Cricetulus griseus: one gene and its partner. The main gene of each other region encodes a partner of the protein of the gene in region 2 in a complex. Links are inferred from orthologs where the notes say so. Each region holds a gene or a part of one and is shown on either strand. Other genes may lie near its edges.

Region 1 (16,210 bases), on a different chromosome or scaffold from region 2:
ACAAAAAAGAGGGGGCTCGGTGGCTAGGAATGCTGTGTGGGGGTATGCGCATGTGGGTTTAGGTAATTAGGGATGCCAGAGGTCAGACTCCCTGGAGATGGACTCAGAGGATTACACAGGCACTAAGGACCAAACTTTGGATCATCTGAAAGAGCAGGAAGCCCTCCAAACTGCTGCCATCTCTCCAGCTCCAACACAAAACCAAGTATCTATACTCTCAACTCTCCTGTAGTTTTCATCCTTTTTTATTTTTATTTTATTTATTTTTAGTTTTTTGAGACAGGGTTTCTCTATGGCTTTGGAGGCTGTCCTGGAACTAGCTCTTGCAGACCAGGCTGGTCTCGAACTCACAGAAACCCACCTACCTCTGCCTCCGGAGTGCTGGGATCAAAGGCGAGCATCACCACCGCCAGACTTCATTCTTTTTGGTGTGTGTGTGTGTGTGTGTGGTTTTAACAGGAGCTCATGTAACTCATGCTGCTGTGCTGGCTGGCCTGATTCCCTCTGTAGCTAAAGATCTTCCTACCTCCACCTCCCCAGTGCTGGGATTAGAATTACAGGCCAGGGCCACCAATCTTAGCCTCTCTGCTTTTGCTCCAGCACAGGGCCATTCTCAAGAGGCCTCAAACAGCTAACTTCAGCAATAAGAAGGGACATTATTTCAGGTGCTGGGAGACTTTTGCCTGTTGTCTGACAGGTTATATACTTAGTACCCAAAGAGTCCAAAAGCGGGTCATCTAGAGGCCTAACTGGTGGATATAATGCTTGCTGACTAGACAAGAAAGGGAAGGCAGAGGCCCCTGACAATACATCTACTGAGACCACTGGGGCATGTCACCCCATGAAAGCCTCTCCAGTGACTGGGGCCCAATTTTCATGCCATCCCCTCTCTCGGCTCCCCAAGTTCTGTGGAGCCACCCACTCTTCTGTCCTCCCTCTTTCCTGTTCAGATAAAGGCAGAGGATATCCTGTATGGCTGGTGTTACCCATACGATGCTTCAAGGTGAGTACAGGAACCATGAAGCCTGAAACTTTGGTACCAGGGCTGCCTCATTACCACAAGATACATTGAGCTTAGCTAACTGACCATGTCTACAAACTACCCAGGTCAAAGCACCAGCCAATCCTGGCTCATTTGGAAATAACCTCTTAGGAAAAGACTGAGTTGGGGGAAGGATCTAGAAAGATAAATGGCTGTGCTTGGGAATCCTTGATTCTTACTCCTGGAGCTAACAGGGGAAACTTTTTGTGGCAAGGAATGCTGACACAGGTGGGGCCAACCAACACCGCTTTTCTTTCCCCCATGCCCTTGAGTGTGGCCTGCATGTATTTCTGTTCACCACTTTCATGCCTGTGGCCACAGAGGCCAGAAGAGAGCATTAGATCCCCCAGAACTGGAGTTTGTTTTTGAGTGGCCGTGAAATTGTTGGGAACTGAACCTGGGTACTCTACAAGACAAAGCAAGTACTGCTAAGTTCTGAGACATCTTCCCATCCCTCACAATACTCCCCTGGCTCACTAGGCTGAGACAGAGCTCTCCCATCATCCTGCATAGTTTTATGTCAACTGGACACAATCTGGAGTCATCCCGGAAAACTCTCAGTTTATGCCTCCGTAAGATTTCCTGTAGGCGGGCTGGAGAGATGGCTCAGCAGTTAAGAGCACTGACTGTTCTTCCTGAGTTCAATTCCCAGCAACCACATGGTGGCTCACAACCGCCTTGAATGAGATCTGGTGCCCTCTGCTGGTCATGCAGGCAGAAGACTGTATACATAATAAATAAAATCTTTAAAAAAAAAAAAAAAAAAAAAAAAAGATTTCCTGTAGGCAAGTCTGTAGTGCGTTTTCTTAATTAGGGATTGATGTGGGAGAGCCCAGCCCATGTGGGTGGTGTCAGCCATGGGCAGGTGATCATGGAGTGATGTATAAAAAGCTAAGCCACGGAGAGTAAAGCAGTAAGTAGCACTCCTCCGTGGTCTCTGTATCAGCTCCTGGCTTCCCAGGGTATCTGCTCAAGTTGGTTTGGTCCTGGTGAGTTTCTCCAGAGAGACATGGTTTCTCTGTATTGCTTTGGAGCCTATCCTGGCACTCACTCTGTAGACCAGGCTGGCCTCAAACTCACAGAGATCCACCTGCCTCTGCCTACCGAGTGCTGAGATTAAAGGCATCTGCAGTCCTGTAACAGCAAAAGAAACCCTGAGACAGTCACAGCAGTCCTTGAAGTCACCAAACACACTCCTTGTAGTTCCCAGAGGCTGCCACTCAGCAAGTTTTCCAGGGAATCCATGAGAATGGAACCCAGCTCTTTTTTGACCTATGGGAATCTCCAGCGGCCATTCCTAGTACTTCTGTTTCTGCCCTAGACATTGGGAAAAGTGGAGTCCGCTGTTTTGAATCCCCATTCCCCCCCACACACACCTTGTGCTAAATGTTTGGAAACATGAGCTGAAAATGTTCAAACAAGAATGGCAAATGGAGGCTGGGCGTTGGTGGCACACGCCTTTAATCCCAGCACTCGGGAGGCAGAGGCAGGTGGATCTCTGTGAGTTCGAGCCCATCCTGGTCTCCAGAGCAAGTGCCAGGATAGGCTCCAAAGCTACACAGAGAAACCCTGTCTCGGAAAAAAAAAAAAAAAGAATGGCAAATGGGGGAATGGAGAGATGGCTCAGAGGTTAATGCCCTGACTGCCCTTCCAAAGGACCTGAGTTCAATTCCCAGCAACCACATGATGGCTCACAACCACCTGTAATGAGATCTGGTTTCCTCTTCTGGTGTGCAGATATATATATGGAAGCAAAATGTATACATAATAAAATCTTTAAAAAAAAAAAAAGGCTTAAATGGCAAATGTTGTTACCTGCAAGAAAGAAAGGAAGGGAACATCATTCCCCCTGCAGCAGCCAAGAGCTCTTGAACTTTGCTTCTGTCTTCCCTGGGGCAGGTAGGACCTAGCCATCACCATTAAAACCCTACCCAGGAACCCTGCAGCTCAGAGGCTTTCCGGATACTTCTAGAGCCCAGTGCGCTTGGCTTCTGGACAGAGCAGCACTGAGTTACTCCTTGGAAACCTTTTCTGAGCTGTTATTCTACTCAGGTGTCTTGAAGGTGTCTTGAGTTGTTTTGAGTTCAAAATCTGGTTGCAATCAGCATAATGGCCGAGAAACAACTGGGCTTAAAAGGGCTTTGCAGCTGTTAATTTACATGGAAAATGTAGCAGAAGTGTGTATGTGTAGTTGGTCAATTTGTTTAGCAAACCCATTTCAGCATGTGTGATAGCCTGTGTCCTTCCTTCTCTGTCCTTTGTATCATCCTTCAGACCCGTTATATTGTCTTACTTGTTCCTCAACAAGTTTTTTGGTCAAATAAAATCTTTGTACATGCTCAAACAAAAAGAGGGTCTGGCAGGATGGCTCTGCAGTGAAGAGCTTGCCTCCTTAGCTTGATGACCAAATATGAGCCCAAGAGCACATAGAAGGTATGAGGAAAGAGGAAACCAACTACAGAGCTGCTCTCAGACTTCTGCACAGGTTTGTGGCCTAGGCAAACTCCTCACTCCACACACAGCACACATAAAGCAGAAAGAGCAAATGGAAGGGCAGACACAGCTAGGCCTGCATCATGGAATTGTTGCTTTTGTCCATATCTTATCCTGGTGCTGCTGTCCCAGCTCTGGGAGCTGAGTCAGGTGTTTGCATTCAAAGCATCCAGTTTAGGTGCTTGGCATAAAGCTAATATGTAACTAACATGGATCTTCAGAAGTGAAGAAGAGAACGATAGAGCACTCTTTGGTTTTTCCAGACAGGGTTTCTCAGTGTAGACTTTGCTGTCCTGGAGCTCACTCTGTAGACCAGGCTGGCCTCCAACTCAAAGATCCACAGAGATCTGCCTACCTACCTCTACCTCCAATGTGCTGGGACTAAAGGCATGTGCCACCACCACCCAGCCAGAGTTTCTCTTTGTAACCCTAGCTGTTTGGAACTCACTCTGTAGACCCGGCTGGCCTTGAACTCACAGAGATCCACCTGTCTCTGCTTCCCGAGTGCTGAGATTAAAAGCATGTACCAACTTGGCCCAGCCTCACTCTACTTAAATATCCTCAGGGTAGAACAGGCATGGTGATGCACACTTCTCATCCCAGTCTGGGGTGGTGGAATCTGGAGGATCAGGAACGTAAAGTCATTCTTTGCCATATATCAATTATATTAAGTTCCAGAGTGGATATGTTTCAATCCAGCATCCCCATCTAGGCTGTGGGAGACTAACAGAATGAGGCTGGGATACAGCTAGTAGGTATAGCACTTGCTAAAACTCAAGGAACCAAGTTTGTTTTCCAGCACTGACTTAAAAAGCAGGGCATCCATGTCCTACCTAGATCATAGTGTTGAAGCCCGGCGTTGGTGGCACACGCCTTTAATCCCAGCACTCAGGAGGCAGAGGCAGGCGGATCTCTGAGTTTGAGAGCAGCCTGGTCTCCAAGAGCTAGTTCCAGAACAGGATCCAAAGCTACAGAGAGAAACCCTGTCTGGAAAAACAAACAAAAAAACCTTTGGGTTACCACAACAAAATAACACAAAGTAGGTGGCTTAAACAGAAATTCATCTTTAATTCCAATATGAAGTTGTTGGTTACTAGGTTTGTGTCTGGGCTTGAACTCAGATCTGCTTGCCTCTGCTTCCAAGGTTACAGGCCTGTGTCCCCAAGCCAGGCCTCATGTACTTTCTGTACCAGGAATCCCACTTCCTTAAAGTGGTGACAGGAAGGGTAGGTGTGGTCCTACAGACTGACCATCACAGTGTCATGGTCCATGAAGAACGTATGTATCATATCCCAGACATCAGGATGTTGTGACAAAGACTTATCCTAGGGTGACACAGAACAGTCTACTCACCGAAGTAAGGGAACCCACAACAGACCAAAGTTATTACTGCATCCAAATCCTGACTGGTGAACCAATGACTTTAATTGGAGTTACAGGAGTCTGGGTGAGGGTGGCTTACAGGAGCAGTGGTGACTCAAAAGCATCTGCAGCATGGCTACCCAACATGGATGACAAGAAAGCTGCAACCTGGAGCTCTTACTACAACTCCTAGGAGTGGCTTGATAGGTTCAAGGACTACTCTTGGCAACTCGGCAGGCCAGCCTGCCCCCTCCCTCCAGCAGCTACAGATGATTGGCCTAAAGGGGTGTTTCAACAGACTGAGATTGTTAGAGATGCAAATCCCCAGGAATCCCTGGGACATTGTTTTGAGGACTCCCAAAGTGAATTCTTGCACACCTTAAATCAGTGGTTCTCAACCTTCCTGATGCTGCAACCCTTTAATACAGAGTTCATGTTGTGTTGACCTCCAACCATAAAATGATTTTGTTGCTACTTCGTAATTAATTTTGCTACAGTTAAGAGTCTAAACATATCTGATGTTGCAAATTATCTGATATTCAACCCCCAAAGAGGTTTCCACGCACAGGTTGAGAACCACTGCCTTAAATCAACTAAGTAATTGGGACTCCTGTAGAACAGGAGGATTGTGGGGGTCAGAGGGGTCAAAGACACAAAACCCACAGAATCAACTAACCTGGGCTCATAGGGGCTCAGAGACTGAACAGACAATCAGGGAGCCTGCACGGAACTGACCTGGGCACTGCAGAGGGACCATGTATGTTACTGTTGTGCAGCTTGGTCTTCTTATACACTCCCAAGAGTGCGAGCAGGGCTTGTCTCTGACTTGTGTCCACTTTTGGGACCGTATTGCTTATACTGGGTTGCCTCATCCAGCCTTCAACTTGATATGCCATGTTTGATTGGTATCCATGGGAGGCCTGCCCTTCTCTGAAGAGAAACTGAGGAGTGCATGGGAAGTGGGGTAGGGAAGAGGGGAAGGAGGAGAACAGCCAGCAGGTTGTTTAAAAAAAAAATCAGCCAGGTAAAAAGTACAAAGGGGGGGGGGCTGGAGAGATGCTCAGCAGTTAAGAGCACTGGCTATTCTTCCAGAGGTCCTGAGTTCAATTCCCAGCAAACCACATGGTGGCTCACAACCACCTTGAATGAGATCTGGTGCCCTCTGCTGGTCATGCAGGCAGAAGACTGTATACATAATAAATAAAAATCTTAAAATTTAAAAAAAAAAAAAGTACAAAGGGGTCTGGCAGTGGTGGCACACGCCTTTAATCCTAGCACTCGGGAGACACAGGCAGGTGGATCTCTGCAAGGCCAGCCTGGTCTACAAATCAGAGTGCCAGGACTGTTAAACAGAGAAATCCTGTCCTGAGGGGTGGGGTGTGTACAAAGGGGTTGGGGGCTGGGGAAGATATAGCTCAGTTGTTAAGAGCACTGAGAGGACCTGGGTTCAAGTCCCAGCATCCACATGGCAACTCACGCCTGTCTGTAACTCCACCTCTCCCACAGACATACCTACAGGCAAAATACCACTGCACTTAATAAAGTTATCCTCGAGGGCCTGACTGAAGTTGTGTATTAGAAATTGCAGGAGTACAACCTATACACACCTCACATCAACTGATAGCTATGATGCTTTTAAATTTATTGTATGTGATGAAAAAAGTCATTTCTACATTGTAGAATAGTTCTACAAACTGCTATTTGCAAAGGAAAACCAACAGGTATCCACAAAGGCAAGAAAGAAAACAAGTATAGTGACTATAAGAATCTGTCATGTTGCTCTTCACCTCCAGGGGCTGAAGTCGGGCTGCCTGTCAGTCAGCAGGTGCCTTCTGCACTGGCTCAGGCAGGTTGTTTGAGTTGGAGGGAGAGGACTTCAATAATTCCTCACGTTCTTTCATCTTCATAGCTGAAAGAGGGACAACACTACCAGTCAAGAGGGGAAATGGAATCTACTCCCCCTGATTGGGAAGGGAGGCGGCTCTGGTCCTGGACCTGGAATCTGGGAAGAGTGATACCTAAGGTGATGGCCCCGGGTGTATCCAGCCTGTGCTTTCATTCTCAAGGGTCTCCTCCGAAAGGGATCCCCAGGGACACTACGGTTGCCTGGTGTTTGGAAACTTGAAGTTGTGAGAAAGTTTCCAGAAGCTGGGAATCGTCCTGTGGCTTCAAAGGGTCTTCAAAGGCCCTTACCTCTTACAATGTGGCGGTTTTCTTTGTGCCATGCTACCAGGTTCAAGAGAATGATTTTCAATCGATTCTTTACGGCGGGTCGTCCAAAAATGGTGATTTCAGCTAAGTTGCCAGAGTCAACTATGTCCATTGTCACCAAAGCCTGGCTTATCCACTCTAATTCGGGGAGTAAGGATTGGTTTGGGCCTAAAAAGGTAGAAGAGTCTGATCAGTAAGTAGAACGACTTCGCGGGGGAAGGGGCAGGCTCTGATGGACTTGATGGAATACTGGGCTGGGGAATGAGGTATGGACTTGCTGCCCCTATAGAATACAGGGAGCTAACCCAGACCCCTAGAGGCTCACCAAAGATTACGTCTGCCAGCCAGGACTCTATGTACAGCACGAGAGGATCGCTGAGTTCCTGCTCTGGGAACCACCAGGGCCGCACGTGAAGCCGCGGTAACACAGAAGGGGTGCTGAGCTGCTTCTTAGAAGGACGGTTCCGCGTTGGACTCTTCTGCTCCGCGTGATCTTCAGTAGCATTGGGTTCCATACTGGGACTCTCAGACTGCAATCACGAGATACTACGGTGCGGGGCTAACAGCCGAGATTTTCAATGTGCGGTCCGGCCACGCCCCTTGTGTGCCACGCCCCCAGTCAGAGCGAGTAACAGCTGGGGCCATGGCTGAGGGGGCGGGGTTGTCGGGTCTTCAGACTGTCAGCATCCTAGCCCTGCCCAGTATACTGCTGGCTCTGAAAATTTAATTTGGTGACTTGACTTAACTCAACTCCAGTGGTCTAGTTAATTCCGTGTTACTTTCAAAGATCCATATGGGCTCCAGGGCGAGCTAGGAGGGTTTGTAGAATGCCCCCTCACCCCCGCTGTGTCCTGTCTTCTCCAGCTCTGAACTGTGGTTGCCTTTAGAAGTCTTTTATGCAATTGTGCCATGTTTTAAACTAAATGGCAGAAGTGGTTACTGAAACACATAACAAGTTTGACTAATTTCATTTATTTCTAAGTTCCTAAGTCATGTATGCATGAATTTCTTCTTTCAGTCTAAACTGCTATTTTCTCTGTAGGTATCTTCTGGTTAAGGTTAAAAAAATCATTTTTAACCGTAATACAATGATACCTGGCAAGGTTTGTATGTCTTGCTGATTCCTAGAGGAATCCTCTCTGTCCTGAGCTCCACTCTGCTTCTGTTAGCAGTGCTGACAAGTCTACCTGACCACTGGAAACTTGGAACACTGGGGTCCCTATTGGGCATGAGGTAGAGATGTCATTGAAGCTCCCATAGGTACATACATTCACTTGAGCTAGTCTCCTGAGATGCTCCCAGCTGAGGCTACTTCACAAACATAGACCAAGCCCATATGTACCTTGTCTCTGTAGTTTCAGACTCCCACAGGGAGCTGGGACTAGCTACCATGTTGTTTGTGGGAATCAGTTTTGTGAAGATGTGAGGAAGATAAGAACCCTGGTCATCCTCATTCGGATGACAGTTGCGTTGTGATTTCCTTTTGTTTTGGAGGCAGAGTTTTTGGAATCTTAGTTTCCCAAATATTTATTACTGCATATTACTCGATAAGCCCATGCCAGCCTCCAAAGATTTAAAATGCTTTTACTGTTTAACAGGAGCTGCTGAGTCAGGTGTGCCACCATTTTACCTCCAGGTGTCTTGGTTTGAGAGTGATTAAGAGGCAGGTGGAGGTCATGTGATTATTGTGCCCTCATTTTCCCTGTAGCCTAATGTATGCTCCTTGTACCCAACCCAAACTGAGCAACTACAACCAAGACTTCCAACAATTTCATTTTCCCTGTCATCCCTGGAAGGAACCAGTATAAATGCATTTCAGTTCAGGCACCAGATTATTATGAGAGACATCATTCTATTTTCTCTAAATTTTACTCTTTGCTTTTTCTGAGACAGGGTTTCTCTGTGTAGTCCTGGTTGTCCTGGAACTTGCTCTGAAGACCAGGCTGGGCTCCAACTTGAGATCTGCTTGCCTCTGCCTCCTGAGTGCTAGGATTAAAGGCATGCACCACCACACCTAGCTAGTAATTCATATTTATATAATTTCTTTTAGTTTCACTTATTTTTTTGTACATTGGTGTTTTGCCTGCACGTGTGTCTGTTGGTTCCCCTGGAACAGGAGTTACAGTTGTGAGCCACTATGTGGGTGCTAGGAATTGAACCTGGGTCATCTAGAAGAGCAGGTAGTGCTCTTAACTGCTAAACCATCTCTCCAGTTCCTAATTCATATTTCTTAATTACCTACAATTTCTTAATTACAAAATGAGGTGTTTCATTTTGAACTTTTTACATCTGTACAGCATGTACTTTGCTCTTTCATGTAGTTTATAATGGTCGATAGATGTCTTGGTAGGGATACTGCCATGGAGCAATCAATTTTGTTCTCTGTTAGATGATGTCTGGCTGTGCTTTGAGGGGATCTGGAGCAGAAGTGGGTAACAGAAGTAGCACACAGCCATCAGAGGCCTAGAATTCCTATTGACTTAAAAGCATAGCCAAGTATTCAGCAGAGTGTTGAGAAGGTCACATGGCTTAGAACCTGACCACAGCCTCTGAAAACCTGATAGTCAGAAACTACCTTTGTGTTATGAAACTGAAGGGACTGTGTCCTTTCAGGGCCACATTGTGGCTACTTACAGCCATGATACTTTCTCCCCTAAATGATACCCACTTTAGGGTCTCATCATGATTGTTTATGGCCATGAGTCTCCTAATATCATTCCTCCAGAGGCTAGTTTGTCTTGGCTTTACTTTTCTATGCATTCTGGAATTTTCTAACATTCTGTTCCTGCTCACGGCCAGGCCTTGGTTAGGGAGTAACTGGCCCTTAGAGGTGCAGTTCAGAGGTTACCTCCCATGGAACCCTTCTTCATCTATACCCCTACTGGTCTTCCCTGAGAGCCCCTAGGTCTAGAAGCACTGCATGATGGCCTTGTCATAGCTGTATTACACCCATTTTGCTCACAGCAAAAAATATTAGCAGAAATTAATCAAGAGATGGGTGAATTAAGGATGACTTCCCCTTTCCTCAGTCCACTGCTAGCTATTCTAATAATTATCTTATTCTTGCTTATATTATTTGACTAGCTAAAAGTTGATGCACTCAGGGGCTTGAGAGATGGTTCAGGGGTTAAGAGCACTGACTGTTCTTCCAGAAGTTCTGAGTTCAATTCCCAGCAACCACATGGTAGCTCACAACCATCTGTAATGTGATCTGGTGCACTGTATACATAATAAATAAATAAATAAATAAATCTTAAAAAAAAAAGAGTTGATGCATTCAATCTTGGCATCTATTATGGCCACTATTTTTCTTTTTAAAAATTAGAAGTGAGAAAATGTTGGGGGCCCAGAGGTCCTTGTGCTCACAGAGAAGCCCTAAGAGAACCAGGAATGCAGGGGTGTCTCCTCAGTGGAGAAGACAAAAATCAAATACCTGCATTCCATCCAGAAAGCTGAGGAGTGGATTTTGTTAATGACTTGGTGACCTTGCTATCTGTGGTGGCAGACCTCACCCAAATCCCCCAGAATGATTATTTGAGACTCTTCCCTCATGTACTTCATGGCTGCTGACCTCTATGCTATCTGTCAGAGACCACACTAGATTCTAGGCCTTTTAGCTAGAGAACAACCCCTCATGGCCACATGGTCTCTATGCAGTCATACCTTAAGCTTTATTGTGTACCTGGAATTGGACTGATTGTTGCCTGAAAACCTTTTCCAAAATTGCACCGAGTCTTAAATATGCTGACAATTGTTGGGTCCTAGACCCTACAGGGTCTCTGTGAGTTGCTTGTCAGCCAATAACCACAGGTGCATCCTGTGTTCTAGTCCTGGCTTACAGCCCCAGCCTTGCCCCACTACACCTGAGAAAACACGAGCTCTTCTTCCAGGAGCTCTTTTGTTTTGTTTTGTTTTGTTTTTTGAGACAGGGTTTCTCTGTGTAGCTTTGGAGCCTATCCTGGCACTCGCTCTGGAGACCAGGCTGGCCTCAAACTCACAGAGATCCACCTGCCTCTGCCTCCCGAGTGCTGGGATTAAAGGCGTGCGACACAAACGCCTGGCTCCAGGAGCTCTTATATCTTGGGTTTTTCCATTGTGCTGTAAGTGTATATAAGGCTGCTCTCTCCCTAGAAAATGGGCAGATGAATGAAGATGGAAAGACACACATAGCACAAGTGGCTGGACATCTCTGTGTTTAACTAAATCTCCAGGTTTTGCCCAATACTCGGACTTAGTTGTGGCTCGGGTGCCACAGACAATGAACTGCCTGGTGTTAGACTCCTTGAAGTCTGATCCAGGTTGATGAAGTCAGTCTGCACGGGGTTCTCATTCTTATCTCTTCCTACAGTTCCCTTCACTGTATGACACATGCAGGAACCCACTTACTTAGGGAATAGGGTATATATAATATCAACAGAAGTCACCTACTCTTACGTGTGGTGCTGAACTTGAATAAGCCCACTTGCCTACCTAGGAACAGTCAGACATCTCAGTACAGATTGTAAATTCACCATCTGTGACACACTGCTGTCATGGTTATATGATTGCGTATATTCATGCCACAGTGCACTTTACAGACAGCTTGGAGTGAACACTGACCACAGCAGTCAGACTGGTACATTTGTTGGAATAGGACTGGGGTATGGGGAATTGCTGTACAAACAGAGGTATGATTATACTAGCCAGAGTCCAGTCCCTTCTTCTGTTCTGCTCAATAGCTGTCAAAATATCTCATTTAAATATTTGCTTTTGAGCCGGGCAGTAGTGGTACATGCCTTTAATCCCGGCACTCAGGAGGCAGAGGCAGGTGGATCTCTGTGAGTTCAAAGCCAGCCTGGTCTACAGAGAGTTCCAAGACAGGCTCCAAAGCTACAGAGAAACCCTGTCTCAAAACACAGCCCCCCCAAAAATTGTTTTTAATATTATATACAGTATAATGTTGGCTTATGCTATAACTTATGCATTTGCTGCTTTTATAAAGCATTTTACTTTTAAAACTTAATATATATTTATCAACCCTTTTTGCTCGTTTAGCATTTTTGCTGCTGTTTGATTTTTGAGCCAGTGTCTTACTTTGTAGCTCTGGCCAGCCTGGAACTCATTGGCAGGCCAAGCTAGCCTCCAACTCACAGATATCCTCTTGCCTCTGCCTCCTGAGTGAGTCCTGGGATTAAAAATGTGTGCCAACACTCTGGCCATGTTTACTGATTCTTAGTAGGCTGCCACCTTCAAGCCTGTTTTTTGTTTGTTTGTTTGTTTGTTTTTCTTTTTGAAATAGGGTTTCTCTGTGTGACTTTAGAGTCTCTTTAGAGTCTGTTGTCCTGGAATGAGCTCTGTAGACCAGGCTGGACTCAAACTCACAGAGATCTGTCTGCCACTACCAATGCTCGGCTTCTCCTTAGGGTTTTAAAGAAGTCACATATAAGCATTGCATTGCTCATGATTATGTTATCATGTGTACTAAACTATTTCACCAACTTTTATACATGGGACCAGTTCCTAGGGCATGATTCCAAGCACCACAAATAACAAGCACCATGGATATAAGCACTGTGGATAACAAGCACCTCAGATAACAAACACTGCAGATAGCATTGCGGATAACATTTCTGCAGATAACTACTGCTATCCACAGTACTTGCTATCCTCTGTGCATGTTATCCACTGCCACTCCCTTTACAGCCCATTTTCTTTCAAATCACCACAAAAAAGAATCTGTGAACTGACCAGAAAGCTCAAAGTATAGTTGTGTTTTATTCTACTTGAATGATCGTGCCTCTGTGGAAATCTCTTCTCATGTTTGTGATTCATGGAACAGTGGAGAGTACTTTGTTTTGAGACATGGTATTTCTGCCTTGCCTCTCCTGAACTCACTATGTAGACCAGGCTAGCCTTGAACTCACTGAGCTCTGTCTGTCTCTGCTGGGATTAAAGATGTGCACCACCATGCCCAGCAGTGGAGGCTCTTTTCAATGGAAGTAACAGTTCCTAGGTACATATGAACCATACACTGGATGAGTTGAAGTATATAAAATTCATGAAAAGTATGTTTGCCAGGGTATTTGAGAAAGTGGTTGAGAACAACTACTGTGTACAAGTAGGAATATTTCCTAAAAAAAAACATGTAACCTTATACTACATCACACACACATTCAGAACCACGAGGGGCACAAGAACTCTGCATTCTTCAAGTACACAACCTTTCATAGACTCAAGGTGAGTGCATTTCCTGCCAACAACTGGAGAACTTGACGATACAACTTTGCCTAGAGAATCAATTTTGTTTTTCAACACATTGACTATCCTTTCCCTTCCAGGAACATACAAGTAAGTGTCCCTTCAAAGATTCAGTAAGGGTGCCACACCCAGCACCTACATTTTCCCCCACCAAGGAATTCTAGCATACTCACAATTTGATATTCTTCCCAGGGCTCCTGCAATCACAGAAACAGAGACATTAGAAGGACCGTGTCACCCAAATTAGTGACATATGGTTTGGTTTCTCTTCCTCAACACTGAGTAGATAGGAGAAACCTTGGCAATAGAAGAGGCGTTGGTGGTGCACGCCTTTAATCCCAGCACTCGGGAGGCAGAGGCAGGCGGATCTCTGTGAGTTCGAGACCAGCCTGGTCTCCAGAGCGAGTGCCAGGATAGGCTCCAAAGCTCAACAGAGAAACCCTGTCTCAAAAAGCCAAAAAAAAACAAGGCTCAGGAAATAAGGATAGGATATTTCACTAGAAAATCCTATTAGGACATCTACTACATAATGCTGAATACTAGGAAGAGATATTGTATACAAGGAGGAGCAGGCCTACCATATACTGTGTAGCCCTTTGCATGCTGCCCTTTGCAAATGCCCTTGTGCTTAAGGTACCAGTTGCTAAGGGTCTGTTCATTTTTCTTTTTTCTTTTCTTTTTTTTTTTTTTTAAGATTTATTTATTATGTACACAGTCTTCTGTCTGCTTGTCAGCCTGTAGGCCAGAAGAGGGCACCAGATCTCATTACAGATAGTTGTAAGCCAACATGTGAATGCTGGGAATTGACCTCAGGACCTCTGGAAAAGCAGCCAGTGCTCTTAACTTCTGAGCCATCTCTCCAGCTCTTTTACTGTTCAAGAAAACAGACTCAAGTATCTATAATGAATGTTGTCATGTTTGCATATTCAAACTCAGCCAGAAATAGCAGGGGGGAGGGGGAGAAAGGGAGGGAGACAGAGAGAGAGAGAGAGAGAGAGAGAGAGAGAGAGAGCAGGATTTCTGCTTCAGACAGTGAAAGTTGATCATACCTGTTCACAGGCTATAAACTCTTCCTCTTGAATAAAAATTTCTTTTAAATATGACTTTCCTGGGAACCTGGAAGTCACAGAGCAAGAGAGAATCATGGATGCTGTGACTCATGATATTCTCTGAAAGCAGTGCTTGCTTAGCTCACACATCAGGCTGCTGTGTGTGGCTGTGCTCTACAACCTAGGCTGTGTAACTTACGGAGTTTTCTCAGTGAAAGCAGAGACCCAGTGAGGAACATGAAAGGAAGGGAAAACTGAGCACTTGATAATTGCCATCCAGCTGCCACCAGTACCCCATCATTCATAATGATCACTTTAAGCCTAATAGATGATGAACTAACCCAGAACTAATCTGAGTTACAATTCATGCCATGTAGTCTCGAATACAAATTCTCAAGGTTACCTGCTCACAAACCATGGACCAGCAATACTCAAAGTATTATGTTTCATGGAGTGACATTGGTGAGCATGAGAAAATAGACTGCCACCAGTTTTGCCCTCTGCAGTGCATCTTAGATGCTCTAGGCTTCTGAAAATTAACCAAAGCATATATAATAACACAGGAGGCGTTATTCAAGACAATTTTACTTTTAAATTCATCTTAAAATTCTGGCATTGAATTTCTACTGGCAAACTGTGAATTGAGAACCAAAAATAGTTTTAAATTCTTCTAAACCTCTCCCTAGTTTTGCATATAGCATTGATGATAATTATAACGGCTGTTCATAATTTATCCTTATTGTTGGATTTGCACAGTACCTTTAGGTATTTTGTTCAATTTTGGTTGCTTCTTTGCTGAAGTTTCACTGGTGCCCTGTTGGGACTTGGCACGCCTCCAGCAAAAATGTCCCAAAATTGCAGACACTGGGAACATAGTCACGACAGAGAAAGTCATGGCAGCTTCATGGCAGGAAAACAGAGTGGAACTGATAACTGCCCTGACAAACATTTGCTCTCATGACTCCCTTCAAGTACAGCTTTATAATTCAGAATGGGGTTCAGGAAGATCAAGGATTCAGTTTCCACTTGACACACATTACACAGACTGTGACAGTAAGAGCTAAATGTATGAGGCCTGATGGCCAGCATCCAAATCTACTTAGAGCCACGTGAACGCAGTCCAGTTCCTGCACTCCCTCTGTTGTCAGTTCTTTGCATTAGGGCACCAAAAAATTCCACAAGGCCTGCCTATAAACATTCTGAATATAAAAAACCAAAATGTGAGGTCTTTAGAGAAAGGTTGGCTACTTCAGAACTGTTCTAGAGTGTCTAGTAAGTGCTCAGCTTTGAGGCTCGGCAGCCAGTCTTGAGAGAGTGTTTGCTTACTTTGCATGCTTTGCCTGAGCACAGTGCTATACATTGCATGTGGAACATATGTTAATGTCTTCACTTTGGTTGGCAGAGCTGTCTGTCCCTTTTCCTTTTCATCTGCGGGTACATATAACTTACTTTTTCATGTCACTGTGAGCGGATTCCCTGACAACTTTAGTGAGAAATGCTGTTTCCATCCCCATTCTAATGTAGGAGTTGCTTCCAAATTGAGCAATGTACAAAAGGGTAGACTTCCTCCACCATATCTTTTCATGATCTTCTCTCTCTCTCTCTCTCTCTCTCTCTCTCTCTCTCTCTCTCTCTCTCTCTTTGTTTTGTTTTTCAAGACAGGGTTTCTCTGTGTAGCTTTGGAGTCTATCCTGGCACTCGCTCTGGAGACCAGGCTGGCCTCAAACTCACAGAGATGCGCCTGCCTCTGCCTCCCGAGTGCTGGGATTAAAGGCGAGTGCCACCAACGCCCAGTGATCTTGTCTCTCTCGAGTAT
Region 2 (12,546 bases):
CTTTCCAAGATGTCCCAATGAAAGGCATATCTGCTCTCACGTCTCGCTCATTCACCCGTCTCTTTTGTACAACCACAGCACACCTCCATTTCCCTCTTTCTGGCAGTTATCACTCTTCCCATTGCTAGCTGAATTCATAGGGCTGCTGTTAATGATCTATATTTTCTCTAGCAACCTGCTTTCTGCCTCCTCAAGGAACAGATGCCTGAGTTCTCCATGATGGCAGCTAACTAAATGCTTATTCATTCACACTGCCCAGTGAGCATGAGCCCACCTCCCCCCTCTCCACACCATCCCTTGCCAATAAGAAATAGCCACACTTGATGGGATGTTGGGAATCTCTGTTCTGGTTTCCCTCCTCCCACTCCAGACCCGTCGCCCTGAGAAAGCCCTCCAAGGGACAGCTTCTCCCCAGAGCTGATCAAGACCACAAGGTATTTAAACCCTGGTCACCAGCCAGGTGGTGGTGGCACACGCCTTTAATCCCAGCACTCAGGAGGCAGAGGCAGGCGGAGCTCTGAGAGTTCGAGACCAGCCTGGTCTGCAGAGCAAGTGCCAGGACAGCCTCCAAAGCTATACAGAGAAACCCTGTCTCGAAAAACAAAACAAACAAAAAGCTTGTCTCCAGCAACACACACTTCTCATTACAGAACAAACTCCAAAGTAAATACAATATAGCTGACATAGTACAAAACAGGATGTTTATTAAAATTTTTATCAGAAGCATAATAAAATATTAGAGCCCTGTGACTCTATGACTGAGGCACTTGGAAGGTGAAAACAAGGCTGGGCTTGGGCTAGGCTTGTGGCAGAGTACTCATCTAGCATATGTGCCAGGCCCTGGATTTGATTCCCAACACCCCCTAAACAAAGGAAGACAAGAAAATGAAGGTATTGCCATATTACTAACCAAAAAGAGGAGCTGGAGAGATGGTCCGGGGGTAAAGGATGCACACTGCTCTGGTAGAAGACCTATATTGTTCCCAGCAGTCACACTGGGGGGTTTGTACCACATCTGTGGTATCTGACACCACCCACCTCCAAAGACCATGCACCCACTTGTACAATCACACACACACACACACACACACACACACACACACACGTACACACACGCATGTGCACGCACACACACACACACAAAAAAAAAAAAAAAGAAAATTAACTTTTTAGAAATAGAGAAGGCCAGGCGTATTTTGTGCACACATGTGAGAGACAGAGATTGGGGTGGGAGTTCCTCTGAAGTTTGAGTCTTAGGCAACACAGTGGGATCCTTCTTCAGGGAGCTGGTGAGGGATTTCTCCCTCCTCTGAGGTCTCACAAAGAAAATCGATTAGGTGTCACAGCTAAGGTTTTCCCAGGTCGTCCAAGTAAGTGAAGGTTCTCACCAGTGTGCTTTTCTCCACTTACCAGAGGGTGCTTTCCACATCCATGATGCTCTTTCTGTGTAGGCTGAGCCCAAGAACCTGGGCTATGCTTGTCCAACACCCCACCACAGAGCCATACTCCACCAATGGCCCCTTAAAGATTCTGTCTAGATTTCCTTTTTTTTTTTTTTTTTTTTTTTTTTTTGGTTTTTCAAGACAGGGTTTCTCTGTGGCTTTGGAGCCTATCCTGGAACTTGCTCTGGAGACCAGGCTGGTCTCGAACTCACAGAGATCTGCCTTCCTCTGCCTCCCGAGTGCTGGGATTAAAGGTGTGTGCCACCAATGCCCGGCTAGCATGGATTTTCATATGACCTCAAAGGGATAGACATGAAGGCTTTCCTACACTGCTTGCACTCATAGGGTCTTTCCCCAGTATGTGTCCTCACGTGTGCATGATGGGACAAGGAAGAACAATATGCTTCCCCATGCCTGCTGCACAGATAGGGCTGACCCTCCCTGTGTGGTCTCATGTGCTTCCCACACTGTACACTCACAGGGTGGCTCTCCGTTGTTCGTCCCCATGTGTCTTTTAAGACAGGAATAGAAGATGAAGGTTTCCCCACATGCATGACTTTTCTCTCCTCTGTGACTTTTCGTGTGTTCCATAGAGGAGGAGGAACAGGAGAAAACAGTCCCACATTTTGTACATTCCAGAATCTTTGTCCTACTAGGAGTCTGTATGTTTTTCTGATGTTTTCCCAGAATCTTGACACTACTCCTCTCAACATCAGTCTGCATCTGAGGGTATTGGCTCAAAGCAAAATAGCAAATGCACAAGGTTTATTAACTTGTTCATCCAACCTTGACAGGGACCTGTCTAGCAAGCTGACACAGCAGCCTCCAGAGGGGGTGAAGCTCCCTGTCTACTGCTAGGTTTTAAAGACAAAAGTTACAGGATTGCATCAGTAGGTACGGGTTGGTTTCTGATTGGCTGACATTTGGGAACAATGAGGAGAATTTCTCAAAGTCATATTTTGGCATGAAATTCCTGTGTACTAGGTATTCTCATTGATCAGTGCTGAGAGGGAACATTCTGTGGTTTCTATCTATGGCTTTGTCTTGTTACTTGCAGGTGGCCTATTGTTCATAGATACCAGTAGTTTTTAGAACTGTGTCCTGGAGACTATAGGGGAGGTTTCAGTCTCCCCTGGAGTTTCTTTTGTGGCCAAACAGTTCCCAGGAACCAAGTACCTAGGAGGCTGGGGCCAGGGGTGGGGGTGGGGGGTGGGTCTGGAGTTTATGTTTAGTTTTGTCCCTAAGCTCCAGGAGGCCAGAGGATCCGGAGTTTCCTTGTGTCAGAGGCCTACGTGTCTTTTCTGTAGCCTGTCATGGCTGCTAAAGCAGGGGCTGAGTGAGGATCTGGTCCCTTTATTTTTAAATTGTTAGAAGTGAAGCCTTTTAGTTTAGTTTACCCCTTCCACTGAGCTTTGTAGTATCTGTGAGCTACTTCACACAGCCCACAGATTGATGCCTGCTGATGACACTCACAGACTGAGTCCACTTTCAGTCTTGGTGTCTGTTTTTAAATCTTGTCAGGGCATCATGGTTATGTGAGGGACATTCTTTCACATTTACAAGGATTCCAAGGGTCAAACTCAGGTTGCCAGGCATACGTGGTAATCACCTTCACCTGCTAAGACACCTCAGCACTTTGTATATGCCTGGTATACAAGTGTTGCCTTTGCATGTTCCTCCACAGCCATGAACGATATTAATCTGGCATCTGTGGCCTGATAGGAAATTCAAATGAATTGCCCTTCACATATGTGACGCTGATACCATACACACAAAATACTTCCTTGGCTGGGGCATGGTGGCAGAGGCAGGCAGATCTCTGAGTTTGGGACCAGCCTGGTCTACAGAGCGAGTTCCAGGACAGTCAGGGCTACACGGAGAAACCCTGTCTCAAAAAACAAACAAAAATGAAAATCCTCTGTGTACACATTTGTATGGACTGGGTGGAGCAGGTGGCCGGGTGCTCAGACACTTCCCAGCAAGCCTGCTGGCTGACCTGAGTCCAGTCCTGGAAGACACACACACACCGTTTGTGTTTTCAGACAGTCTCTCTACATAACCCTGGCTGGCCTGGAACCCACTATGGAGACCAGGCCAGCCTCGAATTTACCTACATCCACCTGCCTCTGTCTCTCGAGTCCTGGGGTTAAGGGTGTATGCAACATGCCATGCCTCCAGATACTACACTTTTAACCCATCAAGAGATTAATTCATTCAGTGCGGGCTGGTTTTGTGTCAAGTTGACCCAAGCTAGAGTCATCAGAGGGCCGTAGCTGAGGAGACGCCTCCATGAGATCCAGACGTAAGGCGTTTTCTAATTAGTGATCAATGTGGCTGCAGGTTCTATAAGAGCGTGGGAGCCAGCTGGCTCCACGGCCTGTGCTCACTCCTGTGCTGTTTGGTGACCAACGGCGATGTGGCCGTGCAAGCCTCATCAGCCCTCTGCTCCCCACCTGCTTTTGTCCTGGTGTTTTGTGACAGTGACAGGAGCCCTGAGACGCTGCTGTCCGCACGATCCGGCCCTCTGGAAACAACCGGGAGGGAGTGAGGGGCGCCCTGCTGTGGGTTAACCTGACTCAAGGTTCTCCATCTGCAGTTCATCCGCAGCTGCGGAAACGGCAGTCCAGGCGCGCACTGACCCCGTGTGGCAGGGGGCAGCGGGATCTGCCCCGGGGAGGGGTCGGGGCTGACGGCGCACACGCCAGGCCTCCGCCCGCCCCGACGCCCCCGCAGCCGCGCACGCGCAGCCGCTCATCTCGTTCCCATGGAAACAGCCCCTGCACCGTGACGTCGGTCGCCGACCTTTGACGTCTGGGCGGCGGCGTCGCCGGACACCGACGCGAGGCACGTTAGTCAGAGGGGAAGACCAGCTGCCTCAGAGACTGAGCCCCACTGTACCGCAACGTACTTCCGTTTCCGGACCGAGCAGCCTGGTCCAGTTCCAGTCAACTTCCGGTTTCTGATCCAAAGAATTTCCGGCCGCTTTCCCTGGACAAGGAAGCCAGGAGTAAAGAGGCTCTGTGATTGGTGAACTATGAAAGGTGGGCAGGACCATGCAATTCTCCAGTAGCCGGTCCCCAGCCGGCAGGGCCCGTCTCTGCTCGAGCGCGATTGGCTGCTGACGCTGTCAGAGCCCATCCGAAGTCAAATAGCGGGATGGGCGGGGCTTAGCCTTGGCACCGCCCCCAGGGCGTGGTCGCTCCCTAGCGCAGCGGTCATATTGAGCGCCGCAGGGCCGGCGTGGGGAGGGCGGGGGCGGGGCGGCGTGGGGAGGGCGGAGGGCGGGGCGGGCGGCGTGGGGAGGGCGGGGCGGCTTGCAGCCCAGCCGTAGGCCCGAGTTCGAGCCCCTCTGACGCCCCTCATGGCCTCTGTGGCTGCCGTGCCCACACACGTCCTCAAAACACACACACACAAACACACACACACATATATACATATATATATACACATACACACATATATACACACACATATATATACACAAACACATACACATATATATACACACACACATATACACATATATACACATATACACACACATACACACATATACACACATATATATACACATACACACATATACATATATATATACACACATACACAAACACACATATATATACACACATATGTACACATACACACACATATACACACAAACACACACATACACATATATATATATACACATATACATACACATACACACCATACACAGACACACACAGAGAACACTCCGTCATGGTACTAAGTTCCCCGGAAAGCGCACAGTATGACCAACAGAGGGAACTATTCCTCCTGACTGGCTTTTTTTTTCCTTTATTTTTTTTTTAGTTTTTTTTTTTTTTTTTTTTTTGGTTTTGTGTGTGTGTGTGCATGTATGTGTGTGTATGTGTATATATGTGTGTGAGAGAGAGAGAGACAAGGTTTCCCTCTGTAGACCAGGCTGTCCTGGAACTCACAGAGATCCACCTGCCTCTACCTCCCGCCCCTCGCCCCGCCTGTCTTCCCGGAGCGCAGCCACAGTGATCCCCCTGCATTCTCACATGCATGAATTTTAACACGGAATAACATAACGCGGGCTGCGGTGGGGCGGGGCTGTCTGCAGAGCGAGTCCCGGGACAGCCGGGCCGCAGACACCCTCTCCACAACTGCAACAAGCAAATGAAAGTTGGGGAAAACACAGTACAACATGAACACAGCAGCACTGCAGATCACGTCAGTCAGTCGTGAAATACAAACAGTGTAAGAAGCAGCAGGGCGAGCGGGCGGGCGGGCGAGCGGGCGCCGGGCCTGCACACCGAGTGGCGCTGAGGGGCCCTGGCGGCTCCTCAGGGGACCCAGAGAAACACCGCATGCTCACGCCCACTGGACGCCAGCGCGGTCTGCAACGCCCTCCTGTGACCTCGCCCGAAGCTGCACTCGCGTGCACCGGCCCACCAAACGGATACAATCAGCAGGAGAAACTGCATACAGTAAACGAGGTCATCACATGCAATGAACAGCATGTGCAGCACCCCGGCTCTCTATGACTGAAAACAAAGACAAAGGGGACTTTTAGAAAGTCTGTCGTTAATGCTGGGCAGTGGTGACGCGCCGCGCGCCTTTGGCCCAGCACTCGGGGCGGATCTCTGAGAGCTCGCAGGTCTCCTGCCTCTGCCTCCCGAGTGCTGGGATTTATTGTTTTACTTTTTACTATTTATTTACATGTATTGTTTACCTCGTAATACTATTGGTGTTCTGAGATAGGCTCTGCCTCTAGCCCAGGCTGGACCTGCACTCACGGAGATCCTGCTGGCTCTGCCTCCTGCGTGCCAGGACGGAAAGTGCGGCCCCACCCCACCCCACCCCACCCCCACCCCACAAAGAAGGCGAGACTTGTTCAGACAGGGGTGATGTCAGCGCCACACAAGGACCATTTTTACAGAAATATTTTACACGCCAGTGTAAAGTGGTCAGGGTGTCATACTAGGCACGACCGCCAGATGTCGCGACAGAGCCCCCTTCCCGTCAGCTTGGGGGCCCAGGGCAGCCGCCAGCCCTGGGAACGGAGATGTTACGGCCCCGCCCCGCTGCAGTGACAGTCTCGGCTGACGCGGATAACGATGGCGTGAGGACTGTGCAAAAGCCCTGGGCAAGATCAGGACCAGGGGAAAAAGAAAAACATTCACCTATACAGGGCTGGAGAGCTAGCTCAGCGGTTACCAGCACTAGCTGCTCTTGCAGAGGACCCGGGTTCGAGTCCCAGCACTCACATTGGCGGCTCTGGTTACACGGGATCCGACACCCTCTTCTGGCTTCTAAGGGCACCAGGCACATGTGCACACATCCACTAATTTGGGGGGGGGCAGAGGGTTGAGACAGGGTTTCTCTGTGTAGCTTTGGAGGCTGCCCTGGCACTCGCTCTGTAGACCAGGCTGGCCTCGAACTCACAGAGATCCGCCTGCCTCTGCCTCCCGAGTGCTGGGATTAAAGGCGTGTGCCACCAACACCCAGCTTTCAATTAATCTTTTTGCATTTTACTTTATGTGTACGTATGTTTTCCCTGCATGTATGTGTGTGCACCATAAGGCCAGAAGAGATCTTTGGATCCCCCGCAACAGGAGTGACACACCACTGTGAGCCACCATGTGGGTGTGAGGAATCGAACCAGGGTCCACTGAAAGAGCAGCCTGTGCTCTCAACTGCGGAAGATTCTCTCCAGCTCACCCAGATTAAAAAGAAAATCATTCCAGGTGTGTATGTGTGTGGTGTGTGGTATGTGTGGTGTGTGTGTGTGGTGTGTGGTATGTGTGGTGTGGTGTGTATGTGTGGTGTGTCTATGTGTGGTGTGTATAGTGTGTGTGTGTGTGTGTGTGTGGTATGTGTCGTGTGTGTGTGTGTCTATGTGTGGTGTGTGGTATGTGTGGTGTGTGTGTGTGGTGTGTGGTATGTGTGGTGTGGTGTGTCTATGTGTGGTGTGTCTATGTGTGGTGTGTATAGTGTGTGTGTGTGTGTGTGTGTGTGGTGTGTGCACGCACACGCGCGCGTTCACCTTCCAATATGAGGGTCCCGGGATCGAACTAGGATTCACAGGGCTTGGCCGCAGTCTCCCCCGCACCCCTGGCCTTCGGTGATTGACAGCTGAGCCACAGGCTGAGCAATCAGCAGCCCGGATCTGAGGCCCACGTGGGGCTGCGGCCTTCTGATTGGCCAACGCCTGCAGGGGCTGCTGCAGCCGCCGCGAGCCCACGTGCGCGGTGCCCGGGGCCCACGGGCTTCCCTCGGGGGCGCGGGGTGGGGCGGGGCAGGGCGGGGCCGGGCCGAGGGGTCAAATGGCGCAGGGCCCAGCAGGAGGGGCTTCCTGCAGGCCTGAACTTGGCTGACCTCCGCCGCCTCAGGGGTCCCGGGGCCTCCCGGTCCTGAGGCAGTGCGTGGGGGCCGCTCGCTTCCGGTAGGCAGTTTGCGCGGGCTGCGGGGGCGACGGGGCTATGAACCAAATGCCGTTCCTCTCTTCTGCTCATGTCTTTAAACGTGTTTTCCCTGTGCACTCGGTGTCTGCGTGTGCGTGCGTGCGTGCATATAAGACACACACACACGTGCACGCCTGGCGCCTCTGCTCGTGCTCTGGGGCCCGCTGCACGCGGGGACAGGGCGGCTCCTCCGGCCGGCCGCTCTGCCCCACCCCGAGCCTGCCCCCCGCAGGACTCCCCAGCGCACACCGTGACCTCCAGAACCCCAGATGACTTCCTGCAGTCAGCGCAGCGGCGCCAGCGGTGTCGCTGGAACTCTGGTGAGACGCGCGGAGGGCGCGGGTGGTCCCAGCCTGGCCCGGCGCCCGCTCGCCCGCCGCAGACCCCGCTCTGGGACAGCCCTGCACCTGGACCCAGCGTGCAGGTGAAAGCAACTCGGGAAGACCGGGCCAGGCTTCCCCAATGTCCCTCACGGGCCACTAGCGCGGGGCTTCACCTGGCCCAGGGCACGGTGAGGGCCCGCCCGTGGGGCGTGGCCACAGGTGCAGCCCCACCTAGAATCCGCCCCGGAGGGCTGGGGGCGTGGCTGGGTAGAGCCCCGCCCACCACGCTGAGCCTGCCTTCCATCTGTTAACACTATATTGTGATTAAAGTCATCCTTAATCCCAGCACTTGGGAGGCAGAGGCAGGCAGAGTTCCGAGTTCGAGGCCAGCCTGGTCTCCCTTCTCTGAAGGTCAAGGACATGCTAAGCACAAGTCTGTAACCATAACTGGGTTGGCTCCAGCCAGGGTAGAGTCTCAACGTGTAGCTTGCTACCCGCTTGGGGTCACATATCCGTTATCGAGCATATCAGCTATTTGCATTCCGATTCCTAACAGTAACAGAGTTAGTTGTGAAGTAGCAACATGGGGGTCACCACAACACGCAGAGTGCTGTTGGAAGCATCAGGAAGGTTGTGAACCAGGGTCTAGACTACAAGGTTCTACCATGGCTCCTGCATAGCTAGTCCGTACCCCAGGAGTTCAGGGACTTGGAGAAGCTGGACCTGACCGGCCACCTTGGGAGGTGTCTGGGAGTTGGTGCTGCAGGCTTTTTGGTTCTGACCTCTGACCGTTCCAGCCTTCCAACTACTCAAAGAGGTACTCCTGCATCATTGAACAGCTGCCAGAGAAGCTCAACAGGTGAGGCTGGCTTTCCTGGGGCTGGTTTCCAGTGAAGTGTTCCTTTTGGCTTGTTTTTAAGCCAGGGTGTTGACTTTTGTAGTCGTGCAGGCTGAGATGGAAGGGTGGCAAGTTCCAGGCCTGCCACCAAAGCCTATGACCAAATAAGCAGGGGCAAAGCCCTGTCTTGCAGGTGCAAAACCCTGTCACGCTTAAGAGTTCTGGATGGCACCTTCCCCTCCATTTATAGATTAGGCGACTCACCTTGTGGGTTCTGCCCTAGGGCAGATGCAGGGACTTTTTCTAGAAGGATCCTCAACTGCTTCTCCCCCTCAGCATCCTCTCTGAGATGATGGCCCAGCTAGACAACCTCTCCAGCCTGGTAAGCCACCCTGGTGGCCGGCAGCTGAGGGGCATAGCTATGACAGGAGGGGGGGATGTGGGCAGCAGGGAGGCTGGCAGAGGAGCAGGAGGGCCTTGACGGCTGCAAGAAAAAGTTGGGCTTTGATTTCCCATTGAAAACAATATAGTAAGTAGTAGTTTAAAGTATTTTAAATAAAAGTATTTCATTTAAAAGTGGAGATGAGCAGCTGGAAGGTGCACACCTGTCATCCCAGGATGAGGAGCTGGAGGCAGAAGGACGGGCCTCTGCTATAGTGTGTTGGAGGCCAGGCTGGGCTCCAGGAGCCCCTGTTAGGATCAGAGAGGGGAAGCAGTTTGCTCAGGGTCTGCTGTGATTTTAGGTGTCCAAGGTCAATCAGTCCTTCGAAGAACACCAAAAGCAGGTGAGTTGGGGACACCTTCTCTCCCAGGGGGAGGGGTGGAGATAGGAATATATGGCGTCTTTGATTCCAGGGAGGTGGGAGGAAGTTGATTTATATAGAGACCTCGGGTCTAGCTGTGGCCCATTTTTCCTGCCCGGGTGCCACGTGCCCTGGAGCTTCTGGGTAAGGGCTGCACACAGGTCCTATGCATGAGGGGCAGGCGGGCCTTCGAAGGGGTGCCGGGCTCTTCTCTCCCACCCCCACCCCCTGCCCAAGCCAAGGCACGTGTGTCCTCATTCACCGCCTCTCCTGCCACCTGGCCCCTTCTCAAGGGCACTGGCAGGAAGGAGGCGCTGCTCGGGGCCAGATGTCACTGGCAGGGAGCCAGGGCCAGGACTGCAGCTCAGTGAGGGGCGGGCGTAGGGGGTGGGCAGCGGGGAGGGGTGGGCAGGAAGCCGCCAGAACACGACTGTTCATTCACAGTGCTCAGCCACCATTGGCCGGGCCAGCAGAGATGCCAGGGGAAGAGCTCTAGGACTGGGGACCGAAGCGGGGACGGTGGGTGGATGCCAAGAGCTCCTGGGCAGGCGCTTAGGGGGTCGGCTACAGCTCAGGGTGCCCAAGAAGACGCACTGAGTAGGTCAGCAGGGGCAGAAGGGATGCTCTTGTTTGGGAGAGGGACGGTGTCCAGGCAGGAGGAGGAACAGCCGCTCTGCAAAGGCTGCTGTGTGAGTGGCAGGCAGGGGCCAGGCAGAGCTTGGGGGGCTGCAGGAAATTCTGGGCCTTGACTCCACCCGGTGAGCAGTAGGAGTTCTGGAAAGCTTAGTTGGAAGAGCGAGGGGACTAATCAGGCCTCAGGTGCAAGGGTGAAGAGCCAGGGGCTGGGCTCTAGTCATTGAGGGAATGATTGACAGGTGCGTCGGGTCAGCCACTACAAGCAGGTTGTGATATCCCAGGCAGCTCTCAGTAGCTTCTGTAAGGACTCAGGTATTATGCTGGCCTGCCCTGTCACCTGGCAGAATACACTCAGGCAGTGCCTGGTCAGCCCAGGGTTCCTTGGGTACTTAGAGAGACCTCCGCCCACTCAGGCTCTCTTTCGCTCTCTTTCCCTTGTTCCCTGGGGCAGACAGGACTTTTCCTGTCTCCCTCTTCTGTCCTATCTGACTCTTTATCTTATTTTCTTACCTCCCCGTTAATAAAACTTTAAATGTGAGTCACGTCTACCTACAGGTCTGTTTCCCCATCAGCCCACTGTCCGTTGCCCGCCTTGGGACCGGGAAACCTGCTACCTGCGGTCCCAGCCCATTCTTTATTCCTAACAGCTCGTGGCTTCCCCATCCCCCTTGCTTTTATCGCCCCCAGCCTCACTCCCTGAACTATCTCTGCAGCACAACCCCCCCTCCCCCGGGAACAGCAGGAGGGAGCTACGGGCTGGCTCTCCCTCCATTCACTCTGAGCGCCAGGCGCACTAAAGTGCCAGTAAATTGCACATTAATGAGCCAGGGGGGACCGGGAGGGCTCCCCTGGGCTTTGTGCAGCCCCGGGCGGGCGCTGCCCTGGAATCCATCATCTCCTCCCTGGGAGGCAGCCCCCTGGGTCCCGTCCTCCATCCCGGGGGCTCCCCCTCCAAGGGGAAGGGGGTGTCCACAAAAGCCCAAAGGGGAAGGAGCAAGGCTGCTAAAAAATAAAAATAATAAAAATTTTTAAAAGCCGCAACCCATGGCTGCTGTTTGAGTCTCTGGCCTCAGTTTCCCTATGTGCAAAATTACACTAAGACCTTTAATCTGTGCTGGGGACGAGCCCCTGACCCTTTGTACTCAAGGGCTCCAACCTGAGCCCTAATTGTGCTGTTAATTGCTTTTTTGAAGTTTTTTTTTTTGTTCGTTTGTTTTGAAACAGGATCTCAAACTCAGTATGTAGCTAAGGGTGATCCTTCTGCCTCACTTAGCCTTTTCGGGGAAGGGTGGGCAGGTGTGCACCGCTATGTTTGAGTGTGTGGAATGGGTTTATCCCCAGGTGCAGAGCTCCAAGAGCATTGCCACATTCCCCCTACCTACTCCATAGTCGGTGCCTGCCGTGAGGTTTGTCCCTAACTTGTTCTAGGTGGGCAGCCTCTTCCAGCTGATGGAAGTCTTCAGCAGGTCCCCGACCATCCTAGAGATGGTTAAGGTGAGTATCCCCCCTGGAGCTGGAGGGGAGTGGGGACAGGTACCCTGGGCAATGCCGTGTTACTCACTAGGCTCCACGGGCTCTATCCAGGCTGCCCAGGTCTCCACTGAGAAAGAAGCCAATCAGGGTCCAGAGGCTATGGCCTCCCAGGACCCCAAACTCAAAGCCACCTCAGGACCTCCGCCATCCACCAGACCCCGGTGCCTCTCAGAGACCGAGGAGCAGCAGGACCCACAGCCCGTGTGGGACAAGGATCCCCTGTTCTGGAGAGACACCCTGACCTGGGAACTCTTGAAACTTTTCACAGAGAACCAACAAGGACAGGAGGGTGAGGCTCTGCACTTACTGGTGGGGGGCGCCTTGGGTGTCCCGGCAAACCTCATTGCTCTCCATCTCTCTCCTCCTCGCCCGTAGTCACGGTGACAGAGAAGCTGCTGGCATTGGTGAGTATCCTTGGCTGAGAACCTCCTCCCATCCCCTCCCACCTGATCCCTGCACTCTGACCTCTCGGGGATCCCGGCCCCAGCTGGGTCTCCCTGCCGACACAGTTCTGTC

Evidence for each region.
Region 1: the proteins of Tle6 (region 2) and Ooep are in contact, whole or in part, in a cryo-EM structure (PDB 8H94), measured with the Mus musculus proteins. The link is inferred for Cricetulus griseus from reciprocal best matches to the Homo sapiens genes TLE6 and OOEP. Residues at the interface, in NP_444484.1 of Mus musculus: Trp256, Ser258, Phe304, Thr305, Arg306, His307, Val318, Asn320, Val322, Asn323, Glu332, Ser333, Asn354, Ser355, Arg356, Leu373, Ala374, Ala375, Pro376, Ser377, Leu378; in NP_080756.1 of Mus musculus: Arg32, Pro33, Trp34, Trp35, Pro37, Gln39, Glu40, Glu67, Trp70, Met71, Gln73, Gln94, Pro95.

What each region holds. Positions count from the first base shown.
Region 1 is NC_048597.1:189,440,597-189,456,806, forward strand, and holds Ooep (oocyte-expressed protein homolog), read right to left. Parts: upstream 7,814-16,210; 5' UTR 7,624-7,813; coding exon 7,434-7,623; intron 7,277-7,433; coding exon 7,091-7,276; intron 6,807-7,090; coding exon 6,712-6,806; downstream 1-6,711. UniProt on the Homo sapiens protein: Component of the subcortical maternal complex (SCMC), a multiprotein complex that plays a key role in early embryonic development.
Region 2 is NC_048598.1:102,346,056-102,358,601, reverse strand, and holds the start of Tle6 (transducin-like enhancer protein 6), read left to right. Parts: upstream 1-7,986; 5' UTR 7,987-8,166; coding exon 8,167-8,217; intron 8,218-9,017; coding exon 9,018-9,079; intron 9,080-9,394; coding exon 9,395-9,440; intron 9,441-9,801; coding exon 9,802-9,843; intron 9,844-11,925; coding exon 11,926-11,991; intron 11,992-12,081; coding exon 12,082-12,319; intron 12,320-12,405; coding exon 12,406-12,434; intron 12,435-12,546. UniProt on the Homo sapiens protein: Component of the subcortical maternal complex (SCMC), a multiprotein complex that plays a key role in early embryonic development.